Oryzias latipes: one gene and its partner. Each later gene encodes a partner of the first gene's protein in a complex. Links are inferred from orthologs where the notes say so. Each region holds a gene or a part of one and is shown on either strand. Other genes may lie near its edges.

Evidence for each region.
Region 2: the proteins of eef1g (region 1) and eef1b2 are in contact, whole or in part, in a crystal structure (PDB 5DQS), measured with the Homo sapiens proteins. The link is inferred for Oryzias latipes from reciprocal best matches to the Homo sapiens genes EEF1G and EEF1B2. Residues at the interface, in NP_001395.1 of Homo sapiens: Leu146, Lys147, Thr148, Arg149, Thr150, Phe151, Glu155, Arg156, Pro185, Asn186, Arg189, Leu192, Thr193, Asn196, Gln197, Pro198; in NP_001032752.1 of Homo sapiens: Ala20, Asp21, Lys22, Ser23, Tyr24, Tyr28, Val29, Cys50, His51, Arg54, Asn57, His58, Ser61, Tyr62, Glu65.

Annotation. Positions count from the first base shown.
Region 1 is NC_019868.2:13,733,724-13,738,121, reverse strand, and holds the start of eef1g (elongation factor 1-gamma), read left to right. Parts: upstream 1-1,499; 5' UTR 1,500-1,576; coding exon 1,577-1,588; intron 1,589-2,343; coding exon 2,344-2,502; intron 2,503-2,589; coding exon 2,590-2,653; intron 2,654-2,955; coding exon 2,956-3,098; intron 3,099-3,209; coding exon 3,210-3,353; intron 3,354-3,454; coding exon 3,455-3,584; intron 3,585-3,913; coding exon 3,914-4,118; intron 4,119-4,398. Other genes in the region: polr2g (DNA-directed RNA polymerase II subunit RPB7), read left to right, coding at 1,109-1,122. UniProt on the Homo sapiens protein: Probably plays a role in anchoring the complex to other cellular components.
Region 2 is NC_019860.2:25,082,296-25,086,545, forward strand, and holds eef1b2 (elongation factor 1-beta), read right to left. Parts: upstream 2,829-4,250; 5' UTR 2,705-2,828; coding exon 2,625-2,704; intron 1,962-2,624; coding exon 1,839-1,961; intron 1,763-1,838; coding exon 1,633-1,762; intron 1,567-1,632; coding exon 1,500-1,566; intron 1,331-1,499; coding exon 1,205-1,330; intron 1,029-1,204; coding exon 961-1,028; intron 896-960; coding exon 809-895; 3' UTR 783-808; downstream 1-782. Other genes in the region: ADP-ribosylation factor-like protein 11, read left to right, coding at 3,716-3,748. UniProt on the Homo sapiens protein: Catalytic subunit of the guanine nucleotide exchange factor (GEF) (eEF1B subcomplex) of the eukaryotic elongation factor 1 complex (eEF1).

The DNA of each region.
Region 1 (4,398 bases):
TAACTAGACGATGATGATCTTTATATAAAAAGAACACATACTTTAGAATCTAAAATATGTTTGGTTACTATTTTAAATTAAAATTTATTTTCATTCGTGTTGTATTATTTTTCTTAACTGTCATCAAATTCATTCAGTGCCAGCATTTGGAAATTCTAATATTCAAACATACGTACAACATTTTATACACTGAAGTTTAGGATTTAGTTTTACATGAAGGACCTTCTTAAAATGATCTTCAACTTCCTTTATCTCACAAAATAGATAACTTATTAATTCTTCCAAATATTCAGTGATTCTTTACCATAAACAGTACATTTTCAACGCAATTGATACCTCACAGTATACAATTGTCATTTGTTTTAGTACAGTTTTCAATGCAGTATTATGATTTAATGGTAACATTTGGTCAATAATATTTTCATATTTTTAAATCACAGTGATTATTATTTGAAAAGGTATTACTCAGAAAGTAAATCTGTCAGATTTCAGTTTGTAAATTGCATATAAATGGCATTAATAAGCAATAAAATATTGTCCAAATGTAAGAGAAGAATTCAAAATAAATTTCACGAAAGAGGCTGCTCTTCTTGTTAAATAAAACGGACCAAAACTCATTGAATATGCATAATCATGCTTAAGTGATATAGGTCATAAATCAAATTATTTTTTAAAACACTTTTCACACGTTGGTAACACAAATGCTTTGCTGAATAAAAAATATAATTTTAACTTAAGTTTGAAGGCAAACTTAGCGTAACCCAAACTGCCACCCAGCCCAACTCGTTCATCTACAATTAAAAAAAAATAAAAAATTCTATAACCTGAAGCATTTTCTCAGTCAAAATGTCGAACACCAGAAGCACTGTTCGATTTATAATTGATTATTTTAATTGTTGTCTAACTCGGGTGGAGATTGTGCTGATGTTGTCAGTCATAAACAATGTTCAAATTAGTCATCCTCAGGCCGTCCACACGGTTACAGAATAATGCACATAATGAAGTGTGTATATATATATATATATATATATATATATATATATATATATATATTATGCCGTTTACAGATTCTATATCAAACTAACCCTGGCTTTTTCTTTTTTTTAAGGTCTCGTGAGCTGATTTCTTTCAGCTGAGTGCTCACCACCTGGGACAATTTATGTAGTAATAACTTCATGATTTATATTCATGTTATGGTAGGATTTAGTCAAAGCCTTGCTGTTTTTTTTCCAATAAATTAACATTCTTTATTTTAGTTAGTTGAATTGGTGTCAAGAGATTAATTCTGCAGTTTTGTGTTTTTATATATATATAAATTTGGTTTAAGTGGAATACATACCTTCAAATTTAGTTGTATCATTTTTGTACTTTGTAATAAAAGATTTAACTTTTTCGTTTATCTTTGTATCATTTTTTTAATCACATACGTCGACAAAGTATTTGTTGGAGTGTCCAATATTTATCTTCTAACACTTGAAAACTCAGTCACGTGCGCAGCAAAATGGATGGGCACGTGTCACGGTCGTAAATACGTCACTGATGTGCGCCGTCGTTCTTTCTTTCTCTCGTCCTGAAGATGGCGGCAGGGGTGAGTAAGATGGAGAGGAGGCCAACAATGGAGTTTTCTTTCAACCTTTTCGTCACAATCCGTCTCGTATCTATGTCATCTGCTCTGTTATTGTGTCGTTTAATAGACACATTAGACCATGTTGCTGTTTTTTAGTTGGTAGAGGGTTTATTTGTCATTTATATTTAAGAAGACGCTAACAATCCTGCCTGTTTAATGGCTAACTCGGTTGTGCCACGTTACAATATTTCGTGAGACTGGGGATGATGCTCCTAAATTTTCCGTGGCCATGCCACTTTATGACCGACGCATTTTTTAGAATGATTAAAACAAAAATCCCCAGATCCTCTTTATTCTTTTGATCGAACCAATCAAATAAGTGAACAGATCAGATGTGGTTTGCTAGTCTTACAAAAAGCACAAGTCGCGCTAAGCTAGCTTACTTCTAGTTTGTTTCTAAAACAATGTAACCATGCCACTTAAGTTTAAGAGGCGTTTCAGCCTATTGGTATTCCATATGTATTTACTTTTGGTAAAATCTTTTTTAAAAGTGCTCCGTTTCTGATATGCTCATTCATTAGCCAGGATTAGCTACAGCTGGCATCGTTATCACATTACCTCAGTCTAAACCTTTTCTCATATGAAACAATACAGTTTAAATTAGGTTTGGACCTGCATTAAAGCAGTTTAATCATAGAAACGTGCACAGAGATTGCATAACTAGATGGATTCAATACATTTAGTCACAAGCTGATAGAAGTTTTCCTGTATTTCAGACTATCTACACATACCCGGAGAACTGGCGGGCCTTCAAAGCCCAGATCGCTGCCCAGTACAGTGGTGCTCGCATCAAAATCGCCAGCACCCCCCCTGCCTTCACCTTCGGACAGACGAACCGTACCCCTGCCTTTATTAATAACTTCCCGTTGGGCAAGGTGAGGGCAGCTCAGTCACATTCAAGTCTTGTTCTTTTCCTCATTAACTAGTTGGGTTTCACACAGCATCAAATCCTGTGGTTCTAGGTACCTGCCTACCAGGGAGATGACGGCTTCTGTCTGTTTGAGAGTAATGCCATTGCTCACTACTGTAAGTCACATTTTTTTACTTCTTAGTCTCTCTAAACGGTCAGAACAGGTTGCTTTAATTGTTATCCAGATTCTCTAAATCAATTCTATTGAGTTGAGGCAAAACGATAGTGAAGCCTTGTTAGCAAATGTTGCTAAATTTGGGGGTTTTGCAGTATGGTTTTATGAATTGTTTAAATTTCGTGTTTTCATAAATCCACTAACTGCTTTGTTCATTCCATGGAAACTCATTTGTCTTGAATTTGTATGAGGCTTTTGGTTTTCAAAGATCAACCGGTTGTTTTTCTGGCTTGTGGCCTACAGTGAGCAATGATGCCCTGCGCGGTGCCACGCCTCAGGCAGCAGCGCAAGTGCTGCAGTGGGTGAGCTTTGCTGACTCTGAGATCATCCCTCCAGCAAGCACATGGGTCTTCCCTACTTTGGGAATTATGCAGTTCAACAAGCAGGTATGCAAGTCTTTATTTTCTGGATTATTTGGTTATTGTGACATGATTCTAAATCACTGGCTAACTGTTAAGTTTTAAACTATTTTTTTTTTTTTTTTTTTTGGTGTGTAGGCCACAGAGCAGGCCAAAGAAGATGTAAAGAAGATCCTGACCGTCCTGAACCAACACCTGAACACTCGCACTTTCCTTGTGGGTGAGAGAATCAGCCTTGCGGACATCACGGTGGCCTGCTCCCTGCTCTGGCTCTACAAACAAGTATGCAGCTTGACACTTTTCACTGTGTTAAGTGGAACCTCCAGCATTATTTGAGCTGGTGTGTTTTCCATAAATGAGCTGACCTGTTTTATCTTTTGTAGGTCTTGGAGCCTTCCTTCCGCCAGCCCTATGTTAACGTGACCCGCTGGTTTGTCACCTGTGTCAACCAGCCCCAGTTCAAGGCCGTCCTCGGGGATGTCAAGCTGTGTGAAAAGATGGCACAGTTTGATGGTGAGTCAACAAGAATGTACTTGTTAGAACCCTGGATTCATTTAAAAACTATTTTCCCTTTGTATACCAATAAGTTTTATTGCACAACATTTGGCTTCAAAGGTGAACTGACATCTCTTATGTTCCCCCCGGAAAGCTTTATTGTTTAAACTTTTAACATGGTTACTAAAGTTTGAATAAAGCAGAAACATCTGGTCATGCAGGGTGCATGCTCGTCACTGGTTAATCCAAACATAACATGAAGATATCTTTTCATTTTCCAACTTTTTTTAATAATCTGACTCAAGCATCTTCTTCATAGAATAATCCATGCCGTGCTTTTCTTCTAGCAAAGAAGTTTGCTGAAATGCAACCTAAGAAGGAAGCACCTGCCAAAAAAGAGAAGGGAGGAAAAGAGGCAGCCAAGCCCCAGGAGAAGAAGGAAAAGAAAAAGGAGGAGAGCAAGCCTGACCCAGAAGAAGAAATGGATGACTGTGATGCTGTTTTGGCTGCAGAGCCTAAAGCAAAGGATCCCTTTGCTCACCTGCCAAAAAGGTACCCAGTGTCCAGTGTTGCATTCAATCACTTTGTACCAGTAGTTATAGATGGTTTCAAACGTGTAATTGGAGTACTCTATCCCCTGTGATTGGGCAAGACTGTGTCCAATCATGGCATTACGTCTTAATCAGACGGGGGAAAAGAAAGAAAAGACCACATTCATCCCAGTCATCTCTATTTCAGTGGGTATAAGGCTGGTTCATGCTGTGGCCACATGTTGTATATCAAAAGCATTCAGTGCATTAAACCTGAGATTACCTCTGATTTTATTTTACTT
Region 2 (4,250 bases), on another chromosome or scaffold:
GCCATGACGGAACCATGGAGAACATCTGACGGAGCGGTGGAGAACCTGAACCTGGGCCGGGCTGACACAGGAAAGTTTGCCTTTGTTCTCCTGAACTTCTGGTCCGGGTTCCGCTGTTGCAGTAAAGCGGAGCTCCCTGACAGATCGGTTGATCTCAGCATCAGAACCACCAAGATCTCAGAACGTTCATCCAGGGTTCAGAGAACCTCCTATGAAACAGCTGGATGGACCTCAGGACAGACCAACGTTCTCTGCTGGAACCAGAAGCGGGTGGTTCTCTCAACACCTGGGCTAACTGGACTGACGTTTGACGGCCACCTTCTGAGTCCTGTTGTGACGTCACTACAGATGTGGCTCGCTCGCAGACAGGTAAGATCTTGCGCGCCAAATGGGTTGAACTCCGCTCACAGGCCCCACCCTCACCTGGACTACGTTCTAGGCGCGTGAACCTTAATACACAAACCCACACGGCGCTTGGATCACGCATTAGTCACATGGTTAGCTTGTATTTAACCGCTAGCCTTTGATCGCTGGTTCCGACTGAACACACCTGTGCGCGTGGAGCGACGTTCGGTCCAGATTGTGGATCGCTTGAGGACCTCTAGCGCGGGTTAATCCTCCTGTTTGGTCCGTGTCGGCGCGCGCTTGTTTAGTTCCGGTCGTCTTCTTCTGCACTCAACTGTTGGAGCTGCACTGCCGCCTACAGGCCGCGGAGGGAACTGCAAGCTTTTTCATGAACAACTGTTATCACATCAGTTCTAATGAGACCAAAGAAAGCAGCCGACAGTTTGATGATTTTATTAACATGTCAGATCTTGTTGAATGCTGCCACGTCCATGGACTGAACGTAATCCTCAAAGGCTGTGATCTGCTCCTCCAGGATGTCCGTTCCCACCTGAAAGGACAGAACGCCGTTAGAACCTGAGGGGGGGGAGCCAGGAGGAACAGGAAGGAACCCACCTTATCGTCTTCCACCACACAGCTGATCTGCAGCTTCTTGATGCCGTAACCCACCGGGACCAGTTTGGCTGCAGAACCAGAAACAAAACTCTTAAGGTTCTGTCGATGCAGCGATTGTGGTCTGAACTAAGGGTTCTGCAGGGTCAGGGTTCTGAGTGTGCATCAGACTTCAGTCGAAAGATGGTGAGTAAATCATCATCTCTGCAGATCCGTGACTCTGATCAACGACCCATCGGTTCCTTACACTGTCCCCACACCAGCCCGTCCATCTGGATGCTGCGCACGCACTCCTCCAGCTTCGCCATGTCCGTCTCGTCGTCCCACGGCTTCACGTCCAACAAGATGGAGGACTTGGCGATGAGGGCGGGTTCTAGCAGAAAGGGAGGCTTCAGTGGGGCAAACAGAGCGCTACGTCTGACCGTAAGCAACGACCGTCAGGTGAAAACAGGTGTCCATCAGGCGCTCAGCCGAAAGATGGTGACTGGATCATCATCATCATCATCAGAGAACTGCTGCAGACTGAGCATGTGCAGACTTACTCTTGGCTTTTTTAGCGGCGTACTCGGCCAGACGCTGCTCCTTCAGCTTAGCGGCCTCCGTGTCCTCCTGCCGGACCACAATCACACAGGTGAGATGGAAGCGATGAAGACCTGGCTAAGACTGCAGCCTCACCTCTTCATCAGAGCCAAACAGGTCAATGTCATCATCATCTTCATCCTTGCTGGCAGCAGGGCCACTGGAGGTGGTGTCCGCTACACCCGTGGGGCCGTACTGACCCAGAGGCTTTTTCACACCTGGAAGACTGAAGGCCGGAGGTCAGCGTTGGAGGTCAGCTTTGGTCTCCGGACCCTCGCCTCGTACCACCACGTCCGCCTCACCTGTTCTTCTGGGCCTGGTAGGACTTGATGTGGTTGTACCACCGCAGGGCGTGGCACAGGTCAGCAGGGGGTGGAGCCGAGACGGCCTCGAACACGGCTACGTCCGCTTGAGAGGGGACATACCTGGAGACAGACCGTTGGTTACCGTGGGTCTAAACACACCTGATCCCCGCACAGGGGCAGGTCCAGACCGCCTGAGACCCGGAGAACATCTACAAGTGGAAGACGGGATCTCCTCCATCCAGCAGACGGGTTTAGGATCCCCACCTCCACAGAACTCCAGACACAGCAGCTCAGGACTGGACCTGGACCGGGTCAGACAAAGCAGCTCAGGACTGGACCTGGACCACAAAAGAACTTTGGTTCTTGGGTGTGGATTTAAGTCTACGGGACCCGCATCAACATGTGTCCAAAAGGTTCGTATCAGGAACCGGGAGGACCAGCTGCAGACCAAAGAAGCAACAAAGTCTGGGTTCTGAAGACCACGGAACCAGTGACAAACTACAAGGTTCTGTGCCCGGGTAACGGTCAGATCACCCACAATGCACCGCGCGCACCATGTAAGAGAACCAGCCATGTGACCCGCGGCACGAGCCAGCAGGAATTCTCCAGAACCCTGGCGGAACCAAAGACTTTGGCTGGCGCGTTTCTGCCGGTCAAAGCACCGAACCGATCCCGGGCCGTCCCGCGTGTTCTCGGTCTTTCTGCGCGGGTGTTTAGCGCCAAATGCTAAGCTAGCAGCTAGCATGGGTAGCCGGGCGGACCCAACATGGCGGCTCCGCTCACCCCTCGATGAAGCTCCGGTCCGTCAGGAAGTCGTTCAGAACTTTGAGCCCAGACGAAGACTTCAGGTCCCCGAACCCCATGACGAAGATGAGCTGCTTCTACCGCGACCAAGAGGAGAAAGAGGAGGGAGGGAGGACGGGAAACGCATTTATGCCGGAGCTCTGACTCCTCCTCAAGACTCCTCCTCCTTGGAGGAGGAAGAGGAGGAGGAGGAGGGGCAAGGTCTGCACCAGAACATACAGGTTCTAACTGTTCTAACTGGTCTCAAAGTTCCACTCCAACCCTCATCCGATGTGTTCTCAAACTCAAAGCGTCTTTAAATCCAAACCCCCTGTGGTTCTCTAGGACCTAGTGTCTGCAGAGCGGCAGGAGTTCATCAGACATTCTCCTCTGAGTTGTGGGCGGGCCGCTGGCGTGGAGCTGAGAGCTCTCTGTTTACATGCTTGCAGGTCTCTCAGCTGGTCCTGGCTGGTTTCGTTCTGTGTTCTGCAGTGGAACCCTGCAGGAACGTGGAGTCCCTCTAAGGCCCCCCCCCCCCCCCCCGGTGGAACAGCTGCTTTGGTGTTTTCAACACGTAGAATTTTCTCCTGATGGAGGACAAATGGAAAGAATACATGAATTTCTGAGGGTTCCTTTATCCAAATGAAGCAGCAGATGAAAAAACGCTGTTTCATATTTGTGATGCTGAACATATCCTGGGCGGGGCCACAAGCTTCATGCCCCGCCCCTTTCTCCCCTGCAGACCAACAGATCCATGAACGTTTTTGTTTTCCTGGAATCTGGATAAGAACCGGCCGGATGGATGGGTGGGATGCTGCTACCATTTTTAATGGTGTTAGATTGGGGCTGTAAGCTAGTGGATCTGGATCAGGTGGAACTGGAGGAACCCGGACATGTCTGAGAACTGATCTGCAGGGAAATCATCTCCTTTGCATTCCATCAGAACGGACAGGTTAGAGTTAAACAAACAACAGTAAAAGCAGTCAGACCTGAATGTCATGTGACCCGCCTGTCCTCATTCCCTGCTCCCATTGGCTTTCAGCATGAATGACCTTTACACACCTGAGTGAGTCGGTTTCATACGAGCAGACATGGGTCAGGCAGGATCGTCTTCCTGTCCTCAGGTGAGTCCATCTTCTGTCCTAAAGCTTCTGCACTGCTCAGGTGTCTTAAGGGAAATGTCCATTTGAGAGGGGCGTGGCCTATGCCATGTTTTCCTGTCATAGACTGTGAAGAGGTACATTACACGGTCTGTAGTTGTTTAGCCTGTGAGGAGGTAGAAATGCTCAGCCCGTCAGTATGTTTATAGAACAGAAGGGGGGTGTCTTGTTGACATCTCCGTCTGCAGACCGGGAGACGTTCTCTGATACCTACTGATAAAGAACAGATGGACGTTCTAGGTGTGGTTCTTCAGTGAGGTTTGTGGCTGAGGTCTTTCAGTTCCACCCAGGAACCCAGTTTGTCCTTCGGGCTTCTTTCATTACACATAGCAGGTTGATGTTGGACCAAGGAGGAACTTAACCTGTGTGGATGCTACAGACCACGTCACACGCACACACACATGCACGCACATATTCACATGCACACACACTGCCCTCTCATGTAAATGAAGTCCAGATCTTCCGG